Macaca mulatta: one gene and its partners. The protein of the gene in region 1 interacts with the protein of each later gene in a pairwise test. Links are inferred from orthologs where the notes say so. Each region holds a gene or a part of one and is shown on either strand. Other genes may lie near its edges. The genes, in order: VENTX, TBX22 and C1H1orf94.

Region 1 (4,373 bases):
GGTGTTGGGGAGGGATTGGGGCCTCCCCTTCAGGTGGTCTCAGAGTGCTCGGAGGAGGCTTGGGCGAGTCGTGACGGGGCCGGAGGGAGCAGGGCGGTCTGGACCCGGCGGCAGCACACGCTAGGTCCGGTGCTTGTCCTCAGGCCGTGGACTCGGGGGAAGCCCGTTTCGGGGACTAGTTGGGCTCCGGGCTGTGCGTGAGGGCGGGGCTGCCAGCCTGGGAGTGACGCGGGACTTCCTTGCCCAGCGCAACCCGGCCTGGACCCCGAGGGTGGGGAATGGGGCGACGCCCGCGGGGACCACCCTGTGCGGCGTGCGGGGCGCAATTCTCGGGGCTGGGCTGCCCCAGGGGCTGGGAGGGAGGAGGCGGAGGAGCGCCCAAGTCTCCTACCCATGGCGGCGCATCAGGACGCGTCCCAGAGCTGGGGGCGGACGGAGGCTCCGAGGCGGAGGCTCTGGTGACCCCAGACCTGGGCCAGAGCAGCCTCCGCGGGCCCTGGAGGGAGGGTGGAGGCAGAGGCCCGGGCTGCAGGAGTCGGGGGAGCCTGAGCCACGGCGGTGGGGCCGCTTGCCAGGGGAGAGGGGCCACCCAAGCCGCAGCAAGGGGCTGGGGTGGGGGCCCAGGACGAGGGGCTGTCTGGCCCTGCCGTGTGAAGGTGAGGAGGGGCGGTTCAGGTGGAGGTGGTGCGGGGGAGCTGGGAAACTGGCAGGAGGAGCTCTATGCAGAGCTGGGGCCGGCGAGGGGAGCTGAACCACGTGCAGAAGGTGGCTGAGACCTCGGGGCCGGGCCCCTGGAAATTAGAGATGGAGACGTGGAAGGCTGGGTGCTGGCGTTTCACAAACCCATGCTAGTGGTTTCCTCTTTATGTAAGGGATGCTTCTGGGCCTTTTCCCTGCCTGTCGAAAGTTCTGTGTGTGTGTTTGGGGGGCGGGGTGGGAGGTGAGGGTGTGCTGCGTTTTGCTCCACTTTGAGGCACCGCCCCGCCGCAGCCCCCACCCTCAGGGCCTCTGCTCCCAGGTGGCAGGGCCGCCCCCACTGCGGGAGGGCTGGGTACCTGCCTCATGGGGCATCCTCGGGGCCAGCCCTGTGGCCGTAGGCATCTGGGCCCTCGCTGCCCCTGGCCGGAACACTCTGCTGGTCCTGGGCAGTGGCTTCAAATCCCCTCTCCCGGGGGTGACCCGGTCTCTCCGGAGATGAAGTGGGGACGGGGTCTAGGCCGCCTTCCTGGCCCCCCAGCCCTCCTGGTTTTACCCCCGAGGCCACGTCCAAAGCCCCCAGCGCCCCACCCCTGCCAGCCTCCCCCTTGAGGGCCCGGTGGCCTAACTGGGTCGGCAGGGTCCGAGGAAGACCAGGGTCAGCAGCGGCGCGGTCCGTTCCCCGACCCCGTCACCTGTGACCCACCTGTTCCCCGTGAGGTCCCGCCCCAGCGCCCCCCTCCCGGGCTCCTCCCTCTTTTCTCAGCCCGGGAGGCGCGGATAGCCGGGTTGGGCGTAATCGTGGGGCGAGGCCCGCGGGTCTTTCTGATTTCGGAGAGCGGGGTGGGCGCTGAGGCAACCGCGGTCAGGACCCGGCCGGGAGTCGGGGCTGCTCCCTGGACCCCGTCTGCGCCGAAACCCCGCATGGCTTCGGACCTGCGCCCGCGCCTAACCCCGGCCGCCGGAGACGCAGTGCGGACCCCAAGCCAGTGCGCGGAAGACACCGTCCTACCCTCGGCGTGGGCGCAACGCGAGTCCGTGTGTCCCGGCGCGCGGGAAGCTGGTCCGAGGCCGGAGGGAACGCTCGCGGCGTGGCTGCCTCCCACCCGGCCACTTCGGCCCCGCGCCCCACCCCGACGGCGCAGGCGACCCGGGGACGCCCAGGACGCGGAGACGCAAACAACTCGGGACCGAGGTTCGTGGGAGCAGCGGCCGCGCGTCGCGATGACCGTCCCGGGAGCCCGTGCTCAAGGCGTCCCCGTGAGGTTTGGGCTCCACAGTCCCCGGCGGCTCTGCCCCCGTCCTGGCCACAGTGGGGACAGCCCGGCTTGGCGGGGACGCGCCAGTCCCGCAGCCGAAGCGGAGTGTCTACCCCGCCGCGCGAGGCAGTGGCTCCGGCCCTTCCAGCTCCGGATGGGGTCAGGGAGCCGCCCGCGCCCGCATGCGGAGGCTGCTGCGATGGCCCCGGGAGTGAGTCCCCCAGAGGAGCCGGAGTAGGGCTGGAAGCGGACGAGTGCCCCGAGAGGCCCCTCCCGACATTGCCGTCCCCGCGCGCCGCTCCCCGAGCCCTCCGCGTCTTTCCCGGAAAGCGTCCCTCGGTTCCTGCGCGACCGCACAGCCTGGACGCAGCGCACGCGGGCACCGGCTGAGTCCGCCCTGACTCTCCCAGCCTGAAGCCTGCTCGCCCTCGGGTGTCCGGGCTGGGCACAGGCGCCAGCGTCCCCCTGGAGAGGAGAGGTCGCCCGGCACCGCCCAGGGCAGGCCCGAGTGGGAGCGGGACCCTCCTACCTTCCAGCAGCCTCTGCCCGCGGGGTGGGGGTTGGGAGAGATGAAAGGAGGTGACCGATGCCGAACCGTTCCCTCTCCATTAACCAGGGCCCGCAGCCCCGCCCCTGCCCCAGACACCGAGGAGCCGGGGAGGTGTGAACGGTCTCCTTTGTGTCTCTGAATCGAAGGCAATTAGGCGCTGCTTATCCGGGCGTTAGCCGTGTATGCAAACCGGGCTCCCGCCCCCTCCTCCCGGGCTTATAAACGCCGCCGCCCGGCGAGGCCGGAGGTGGATCCTGCGCCTGGCCAGCCCCGCCCGGCCTTCCCTCCGGCCCACCTGGCCGCCATGCGCCTCTCCTCCTCCCCACCTCGTGGCCAGCAGCAGCCCTCCAGCTTTGGCTCTGTGGACTGGCTCTCCCAGAGCAGCTGCTCAGGGTTGACCCCCTCGCCCAGGCCTGCCGACGTCTCCCCGGGGAGCCTCCCTGGCCCGGGCCAGATATCCGGCGCCCGGGAGCCCCCTCAGGCCATCAGCATCAAGGAGGCCGCCACGTCCTCAGATCTGCCTGCGCCGGAGAGGACCGTGGCTGGTAGGTCCGGGCCGGGGGTCCTTCCCAGGTGGAGATGGGAGTGGGGGAGAGGCCAGGAGCCCGGCGGCTGAACTCCCCGCGGTACGGGGCGGACGAGGTCAGGGCCGGGGACGTGTCCATGAGGGCCGGCGGAGGCCTTGCCTGCGCCTCACTGGAGCGCAGCTTCCCTCGAAACCAAAGCCTTGACGGGGATTTTCTCTCCTTGAGCCCTCGGTGGGCTCCTCTGCCTCCCTTGGCACCCCGTTCCTCAGCTGTGTCCCACCGCGGCCTGGTGCCGAGGGACCGTCCAAGGGGTCCCTCTCCGCACCTCTCTGCCCTGATTCCGGGCGCTCACTGAAACACAGCGCGGGCGTGGGCACCTGTGCCCCTGGTGTTCCAGCCCCGCAACCATCGGGACCCAGTTCCAGGGGTCCGACGATTTGCCAAGCCCCCTCTGCCCCCAGCAAAGCCAGTGCCTGCTCAGCATCTAGGCTCAAGCCCCTTCCAGGCCACCTGGAGCACAGCTGTCTTTTAAAGAGCCTGCAGGTTTGCTGTTAGGGCGGCGGTGACCCGGTGCCTGCAGAAACTCTGAAGTTCGGTCTGTGGCCCGGAGATGCTCTGTTGTCTGCTGAGAACAAAGGTTCTCCGCGTTTGTGTTTTAGTCTTTGTGACATCGTTGCCGCTTTTAGGTTTAAGGTAGTACTTGGTCAAAAGTGGGGTTAACATAAGTTTTCATTTTTAAAAATTTGACTGATCCTCATGGAGTAACTTTGTACTTCAGGGAAATGAAAATTTAAATATGTTCTTCCCAGCTAGCTATCCTGCCCCACCCCAAAAAAGTCAACCATTCCTGTCCCCCAACCCCCTTCCTGATCCCAGTCCTACAGCCCTCCCCGCCACAAGGCGTTTGCTTTTCGGGTCTCCCATGTGCTTTCAGGCTAACGTGAAGACAGATTTTGTAAAATACGCTTCCTTCCGCAGAAACTCCAGTGAGCATTTGGGTCAGACTTGAGTTAAATGTTGAGCTCGTTTCGCCACGTTGGCCTCCTTCCTGGGACCCAGACCACACACCACCTTGTGGGGTTGTTTAGTGCCAGCCCGCATTCCTTAACTTAGAAATTAGAAAACAGACTTGACCAAGGTGGGCCTGGGGATTAACTGAGCCGGGCTCTGCTGGCTGAGGAGCCGGAGCCCAGGACAGGGACCGAGTTCCCTGGGTGGGTCCCCAGGCCTTTGCATGTAATGGACTCTACCTTACCTGCCTGGAAGTCTGCAGAAAGGGCATCCTGGGAACCGGCTTCGGAAGGGAAGTGTGGGATGGGGCCGAACTGAGTGAGCTGAGCC
Region 2 (3,614 bases), on another chromosome or scaffold:
GAAGGATGATCAATTTGCCACTCAAGGTCAGTCAAGCAGTTCCTGTGTCTAGGCCTGTCTTTTGGTCCATCTTTAATCTTTCCCCTGAAGCAATGTCTGGGTCTTAGAGAGTACAAGTATCATTTTCCCTTTATTTAAGTCCTCAACCTACAGCAGGCTGAAAGTGGCCCAATTGTTCTAAAGCCAAAAAGCCCTTGTGGGATACATCCCAGACACACCAGCTTGCCAACACTTTGACTCGGGGGCTTGGGGTCTAGTTCACGGTTGGAGGGGTGGGGAGGTGACAGCTGTTTACACTAGGGCTGTGAGCATTTGACACAGAGGCGGGTCCCTGGTCCTCCAAGGAGACAGCCCACCTCAAAACCAGAGCTAGCTTTGAAAGCAAGGAGAAGGCTCAGCTCAGAGGACTGCTGGGGCTGCAGTATGAAAACAGCAGAAAAAGCTGTTTGCTTCTCAAGTTGCAGCTGGCATGGGAATAGGCGCAAAACTGGGAAGTTGAGATTGGAAATAGTGTGAAAATCGGCCAGAGGCTGTGCAGGACTGTGTTCCTAAGAGTTTTCTTGATGTGAAGCCTTATTGGCAAAAGGGCTTCCACGAGGACAGGTGACAGTAGGCTAGACAGAAATACTTGTCAGCCCTCCACTTCTTCCCAGACTCTTCACACCCAAAGCTAGTGGATTTTTCCGTTGTCTCTGTGAGATAAAATGGGTTAGATCAATTTCTGTGGCGTTTTCTGTGAGAAAATACAAACCAGACTTAGAAATCTCATGACATTTTACTTGCCCTGCACTTCATTGCATTTTGATGACATATGCTTATTTACAGTTTATTTTTTGCCCCTGAATGCTTGTTAGAAATTAAGTTGAATCTTCTGCTTACTTGCCCTTGAGATCACTGGGCTAATCTGGAGCAAAATCCTCAGGAACAGAACACAACAGCTCCCAGCTTTGGCCTGCTGCACCTAGTGCCACAGCATGTGTTTTTTCAGGTATGTGTATCACAGCTCACAGTGGATGGTAGCCGGGAATACGGATCATCTGTGCATCATTCCTAGATTCTATGTTCACCCGGACTCACCCTGCTCAGGAGAGACCTGGATGCGGCAGATCATCAGCTTTGATCGCATGAAACTCACCAACAATGAGATGGATGACAAAGGCCATGTACGTGAGCAAAATCCTTTACCCTGAGTAGGGAGGTGCCAAGGCTCCTGCCCACTGGCCACCCTGGAGAGGCCAAGGAAGCTTTTTGCAGATGTACATGTTGTGTTTTTTAGGAACTGTCCAAGCCCTGCACCTGTAAGTAAAGTAGCCAACCTAGGGCTCCTGAAACGTTTGTTTGGCATCTGAGAGTGCTGGCAACTGGGGATGGCGAATATAGGGAGTTTGAGGACAGAAAGAGACCTGTTTAAGCCAGAATGCCTGGTCTGGGAGAGTAGGATGGAACCATTCAGGGAGTTCTCAGGCACCATAGCCTCCTGGGCAATCACTGTGATCTCTGATTGCCTTCCTATAGTCCACGCAGTTGGATGGGCACCCAGTGTATTGTATGGTGTGGTGGAAGGATACAAGTGGGGGAATGTCAGACTGCAGCCTGGAAACCTCCCCACCAACCAACCCTCATAGGTACTATTGATCTTGCACATTGTAACTAGGTGCATCCCTGCTTCTGCCCTCCCCAGTCTGGCACTGTGCCGGCTACAAAAGGAAAGACGGAAGCTCCCAAGATTAGGAGGTAGGGTATGCCAGAAGGTTACCCACCATGTCCAAGCCCATCAGTTACTGCCATGAGAACCTGTAGCAGGCTAGCAGATCGCAGTGCCACTTCCACACCAGATGGTCGCCAATGTTTGAAGCAGGAAAAGGCCTCAATCTGGAAATGGAATCACTGCTGACAGGTGCCGCTGAGGTGCCTTTCTCTGGAAATGTTTTTAGCTCGGAGCGCATCCCTCGGAGTGCCTCTGTTGGAGGCCAAATGGCATAACAAAATAGTTACCTAAGCCTCATCATTGCCTTTTAGTGTGCACGTGGTGGAGGTGGTCAGGAGAGAGAACTAGGGTTGGGGACTGGAAGCCAGTTTTTCTAACAGCATTGGTCATTTCTCCTCCAGATTATTCTGCAATCCATGCATAAGTACAAACCCCGAGTGCACGTGATAGAGCAAGACAGCAGTGTTGACTTGTCCCAGCTTCAGTCCTTGCCCACTGAAGGGGTTAAAACATTCTCCTTTAAAGAAACTGAGTTCACCACAGTAACGGCTTACCAAAACCAACAGGTAAAGCTGGTCATGTCTCAGGCAAATGGAAATGGCTCCAGAGGGACCTTGGGATAGAGGCTAACTGCAATCAGTTGCATTTTCCACAATTCTAAATAAAAATCATAGTTTTATTGAATTGTCATCCATGCAAGTTTGATAATGAATTGTGTAAATCTTATGTGAGAAGGCAACTCCAGAATGTAATTTATAAAAGTAATGATTTATAAATAGGAGCTAACCATTCTAAATATGACTTGCAATATGGTTACATTTATTTAAATTGTCATATTACATGTTGCAACATCTTTTCTGGTGGTTGTAACCACTATAAGCAACGGTGACAGTGTTCTCACTGAAAGCAATGATATTATCTTTCTCTCTCTATTGAATCCATAGATTACGAAACTAAAAATAGAAAGAAATCCTTTTGCTAAAGGATTTAGAGATACTGGAAGAAACAGGTAAGCAGCATAGCAATGACATCTAATATTGATGTAGCTAGCTATTTTCACAAGTTTTTATTTTTATTTTTATTTTTTTTTTCTGAGATGGAGTCTTACTCTGCTGTCCAGGCTGGAGTGCAATGGCGCGATCTTGGCTCACTGCAACCTCCGCCTCCAGGGTTCAAGTGATTCACTTGCCTCAGCCTCCCAAGTAGCTGGGATTACAGGCGTGAGCCACCACGCCCGGCTCCCCACAAGTTTTAAGGATAAGAAAACTGGCTCAGAGACTCAAACACTCTAAATTTTGTAATTAGTAGGTGGTAGAAAAGGAACCCAGATGTTTTGTGTCTAAAACATTACTTCCTCCCACTCCTTTGCTACTCAGTATTAAGATCTTGCTTATTTTAGAATTCTAGGTTTAACTGAATTTTATTCAGAAGTCTAGCTGTATAAAAGAGAAATATTTAAAATAGTTACATCTAAAAGACATAGCCAAATAACTCAAAATCATTATGTTCAGAAATTGCATTCTGGGGATGCTGAAAGTTGACTCTCTTTTTTAGGGGTGTATTGGATGGGCTTTTAGAGACCTACCCATGGAGGCCTTCTTTCACTCTCGATTTTAAAACGTTTGGCGCAGACACACAAAGTAAGAAAACTTGGAACATTTGTTTTATTTTTACATATTAATTAAATAACAACATCCAGAACACTTGTACCAAATACTATACAAAGGGATATGTACATGCAAGAAAATGTGTACTTACAGGTAAGTGGGTGTACCTCTGCCTGAATGATGAGGTAAGAGGCATAAAGGGAGAGAAGCTGGCATAAAGGAAGAGAATAGAAATGTGGTAATTGTGGACTTATTGAGATATGTTAGTAAGTTATCTTACACCCTGTGATTTTCAGATT
Region 3 (4,135 bases), on another chromosome or scaffold:
TGCCCAGTTGAATGAAGCCGCTTCAGTGAGGGTAGGGGCCTGTTGATCAGTAAACAGCTAACTTAGCCCTTCTCCCAGCACCTCGGACCTCCTACCCCTGCTCCTGCCCACCTACTGAAGCAGTCTCAGTGCTCAAGGGCTAGATCAGGCCTAGAGTGCTGGGGTCTGAATCTCAGCTCCCCTTTTCTTAGTGGGCCTTGGACACTATCATTTATGACTTTGAGATTCGCTTTCCTCCCATTTAGAACGATAATAAAAAGTGGTACTAATTTCACGAGCTTTGATAGGATTGAATGTGAGCCCAGCGCTTGGCACAGGGCAAGCGCCCCATAAAATGGCAGTTAGGATTAAACTCGAGGATGAGGTGGCCCCCCAGGCAGGAGCTGAGGTTTGTGTGGAGCGGTGAAGTGGGGCGGCGGCGCGTTTGGCTTTGACTTCTGATCCGCCGAAGCGCTCTGGGGTCCTTTGGGCCCCACCCCCACCCACCCCACCGGCGGGTCTTGGGCTCCGAACCCAGGGCGTCCCGCGCACCGAGCCGTTGCGTTTGAAACCCACAGAAAGAATTCCCCCGCTCGACGACTGCGAGGGTGTGGGAGCCATTGGCAGGGCAAATTGGTGGGAGCCGCCCGGCCCAGCCTGCCTTGCCGAGTCAGCGCGCTCTTGAGCTGCTGGGCCCTTCCCGGTGCCCATCCCGCAGCGCGGCGCGGCCAGGGCAGGGGTCTGCTGGGGGCCGGGACTGAGGGCTGTGGGCCCATCCACACACGCCTCGTCCCTTCTTTCCCGGGGCGGCAGAGCAGCAGCGGGAGACCAGGAGCAGGTGGGGTAGGGCGAGAGTAAAGCAAGAACTGGGCCGGCGGCGGGGACCGGGCCGTTGGCGCTCGCTCTGCGAGGGGCTCCCTGGGAACGCCCAGGCGAGCGTTTCCTGCGGGGCCCCGCCCCCCGGGTGCCTACCATGGTGTCAGGCCCGCACCCAGTTCTCCGCGTGTCCTAGCGGGCCAGCATGGGCTGAGCCCAGGCGCCGCAAGGTGTCACGGCGGCGTCGCAAGGGGGCAGTGCCAGGGACTGTGGGGAGAGCCAGCCCTCCCCCTCCAGCTGTTCCCAGATGTCATTCTGCCCGCCCAGGCGCCTGGTTCCTGAGCTCCGGGGCATTCCACTGTTCCTAAGCTACTGGTTTTTGTTGACTTTTAAATATTTTCTTCTGAGGGAGAGGGGGAGGGCGGCAAAAGTTAGGAAAGAGGAAATAAAAACAAATCAAAATAAGCCCTCCCCTCCCCAAAAGAAAACTGTCCTCCACCCACCCCTCCCACACAAATCGAAGGCCTCTGAACCTAACCACCTTGTGGGAGCGACAGCCAGACAGAACTGACCCACTTCTGCCAAGACCCATCCTCATCTCCCTTTCTGGTGAATGAGGAGTGGTGGTGGATGTCTTCTAGCCCTGGGTGGACAGAGGGGCTTCCAGAAAGAGCGGAGGAGGATGGCAAGTGGGAATGGGCTTCCTTCATCCTCGGCCCTGGTGGCCAAGCGCCCCTGCGCCCTGGGCCCATTCCCCAGATACATCTGGATCCACCAGGACACACCCCAAGACAGCCTAGACAAGACTTGCCATGAAATCTGGAAGAGAGTTCAAGGCCTGCCTGAAGCCTCACAGCCCTGGACCTCCATGGAGCAGCTGTCTGTCCCCGTGGCTGGAACTCTAAGAGGCAATGAGCTCAGCTTTCAAGAAGAGTGAGTACCCCCCTATTCCGTTGGCAGAAAGGGAGGAGGGAGGAGATGAAGTCTGACCTTCTAGGGGAATGTTCTGGCCCACCCTTGAGGCTGCTGAAACCCTAAAGGCTGTATATTGCCCCTTCCATGGTCCTTTGTCCAAGCGTTATAGAAGAGCTGACCAAGGTTCTGATGTTTCGTGGGTGAAGAGCCAGATTAGGGCTATATTCCAGGCTGCCTCTTCACTAGCCCACTAAGCAGACATCTCTCATCCTAAACGCATGTGAATCTGAGGTCCTTGAAAAACCACCCTAGCCAAGGCTAAGGGTTACATGGCTCGTGACTTTCCCCAGAAGCAACTAGAAGATCCTTCCCCTCTCCCACCTAAAGGCTAGGCATTCACATGGATGAGACTGATGGTTTTAAATCACATCTGGAATTCCCTAATACAGGGAGCAGCTGTCCCATTCAGCCTCCACAGAAGCTGCTGCAAGAGCACACATCAAAATATTTACTGGGAAGGCACTGACATATTCAGAGGACATAATAGAAAATTAAAGTGCGGGAAGATGGCTGTAAATAGCCCGTTTCCTGGATGGGAAATCCTGTGTCTGGGAAACACAGAGCTAAGTGTTTCTCCATCAGGGCAAAGTTGGGCAGATATTGTTGGGGATGGATATTCGAAAGGAAAGGAAGGAGCAGAGAGGAAAAAGGGACCTCATTAGGAAAAGAAGGTAAATCTGCTGTGGTTATTAATACCACTGTTGAGCACTTATTTCACATTTTGCATCTTCAAAGTGGACTGTAAACTTAATTAATGCTCCCAGAGTCCCTATGAGGCAGGTATTAGTGTCCCCATTTTACAGATGGATTAAGTGTTAATAATTAAGAGCTAATTAAAGACTAACCGATAATTAAGTGTTGCCTGCTCCAACACATGCTACAGCTCAGTTCAGAGATGCTCTGGAGTTGGGGAGCCATTCAGGCATTTATCAGCTGCCTCAGGTTTCAGGGATGCCAAAGCAAGAGCTAAGAAGAAATGCAAAGTGTAACGGACACCCACCTCTGCACTACCTGCTGTCCCTCTGTGGGCTCATTTACTTACTGCAGATGAAGGTGGAAGGTACTTTGGCTAGTCCTGCCTCCCTGCCCTGTGCTCAGCACGACATGGCTCAGATAGGAATGGCCTATCTACAGCCAAAATCCTGCTGTCAGGCCCTTCAGTGGCATTGAGCCCTTCTTCCCTGCTCATTGCCATCTGCTCCGGGACAGGGCCTTGGCAAGAGGGCTGTGCTCAGCTCTCAGTGGCCAAGGAGCTGATTGTCCACTTCGTGGACCAAGGGTCAGTAGCAATTTCCAGTAGATGGCACCCTCTTTGCCAGGTCACATGGAGTTAATGGAGACAGACTCTACTTCCAGTCTGCACTTGGCTGAAAATTGAACTGGTGCACCTTTGGCCAGCTGCTTAACTCCATTTGGCCTTTATTTCCTCATTTGCAAATTGAGGATGATATGCACTGCCTTGTCCACCTCAGAGTTGATAATGAGGATCCGATGTGATGGGAGACAGTGAAATGAAAGATGCATTATACAAATCAGGCTGCCCTTAACTTGTACTTCTTCAGGTTGGGATTTGTTGTTGTTGTTGTTGTTGTTGTTGTTGTTGTTGGCGGCTTCAATCTGGGATTTCACACTATGCTCCATATACCTCAAGGTGCTTCAGGGGTACCGTGGAGTCAAGCGGGCTGGTTGCTGGGCCCCAAAATCCATTTCAGCCAGAGCTGTTTAGCTTTTATCAGTTTTACTTACTGGAGTTCTGAGAAGGGCTGAATTTGAAAAGTATGTTTCTGCTATTGAGAAAAGAGATAGGAAACCACTGACTTAGATGAATAAACAATATCCTAATTGTCAACAAAATAGAACACAATGAGCTATTCTTAAAGGCAGTGTGCTGGTGGAGTCAGATAACTCTGGTTTCAGATTCCATTTCAGCCCCATGACATTTGAAGAATTTGTTACGGTTTAATTTATCTAAACTTTGGTTTCCTCATCTGCCAAATGGAGATTAATACTACACATTTTGTAGGGTTGTTGGAATGATTAAATGGGATATTTAAACATCTATGGTAATAATTCAGATTTGTAAAAATTCCCTGCAATTCAGATGTAATCATTTCTTTAAGCTCTACAATTATTGTATGAGGTAGGTACTCTTTTGAACTTTCCATCTCTTTTTACTTTTTATTATGCAGATTTTCAAACACATAGAATAATATGGTGAATATCTATGTGTCTACACTGAGTTTTGATAATTATCACATTGTGCCATTCTGGCTTCAATTGCTACCTCCACCCCTCCATTTATAAGTGAAATTCCTTTTACAGATAATGTGGCTGAGGTTTGGAGGGTTTAATTTCTTTGCCCAAG

What was found.
Region 2: the proteins of VENTX (region 1) and TBX22 interact in binary tests that used the Homo sapiens proteins (3 or more experiments, as listed by UniProt). The two-hybrid records come from large-scale screens. The link is inferred for Macaca mulatta from reciprocal best matches to the Homo sapiens genes VENTX and TBX22.
Region 3: the proteins of VENTX (region 1) and C1H1orf94 interact in binary tests that used the Homo sapiens proteins (3 or more experiments, as listed by UniProt). The two-hybrid records come from large-scale screens. The link is inferred for Macaca mulatta from reciprocal best matches to the Homo sapiens genes VENTX and C1orf94.

What each region holds. Positions count from the first base shown.
Region 1 is NC_133414.1:145,333,942-145,338,314, forward strand, and holds the start of VENTX (homeobox protein VENTX), read left to right. Parts: upstream 1-1,469; 5' UTR 1,470-2,809; coding exon 2,810-3,050; intron 3,051-4,373. UniProt on the Homo sapiens protein: May be involved in ventralization.
Region 2 is NC_133426.1:86,363,618-86,367,231, forward strand, and holds part of TBX22 (T-box transcription factor TBX22), read left to right. Parts: intron 1-988; coding exon 989-1,163; intron 1,164-2,109; coding exon 2,110-2,274; intron 2,275-2,652; coding exon 2,653-2,717; intron 2,718-3,262; coding exon 3,263-3,348; intron 3,349-3,614. UniProt on the Homo sapiens protein: Probable transcriptional regulator involved in developmental processes. This is major determinant crucial to palatogenesis.
Region 3 is NC_133406.1:206,661,083-206,665,217, reverse strand, and holds the start of C1H1orf94 (uncharacterized protein C1orf94 homolog), read left to right. Parts: upstream 1-1,318; 5' UTR 1,319-1,408; coding exon 1,409-1,728; intron 1,729-4,135.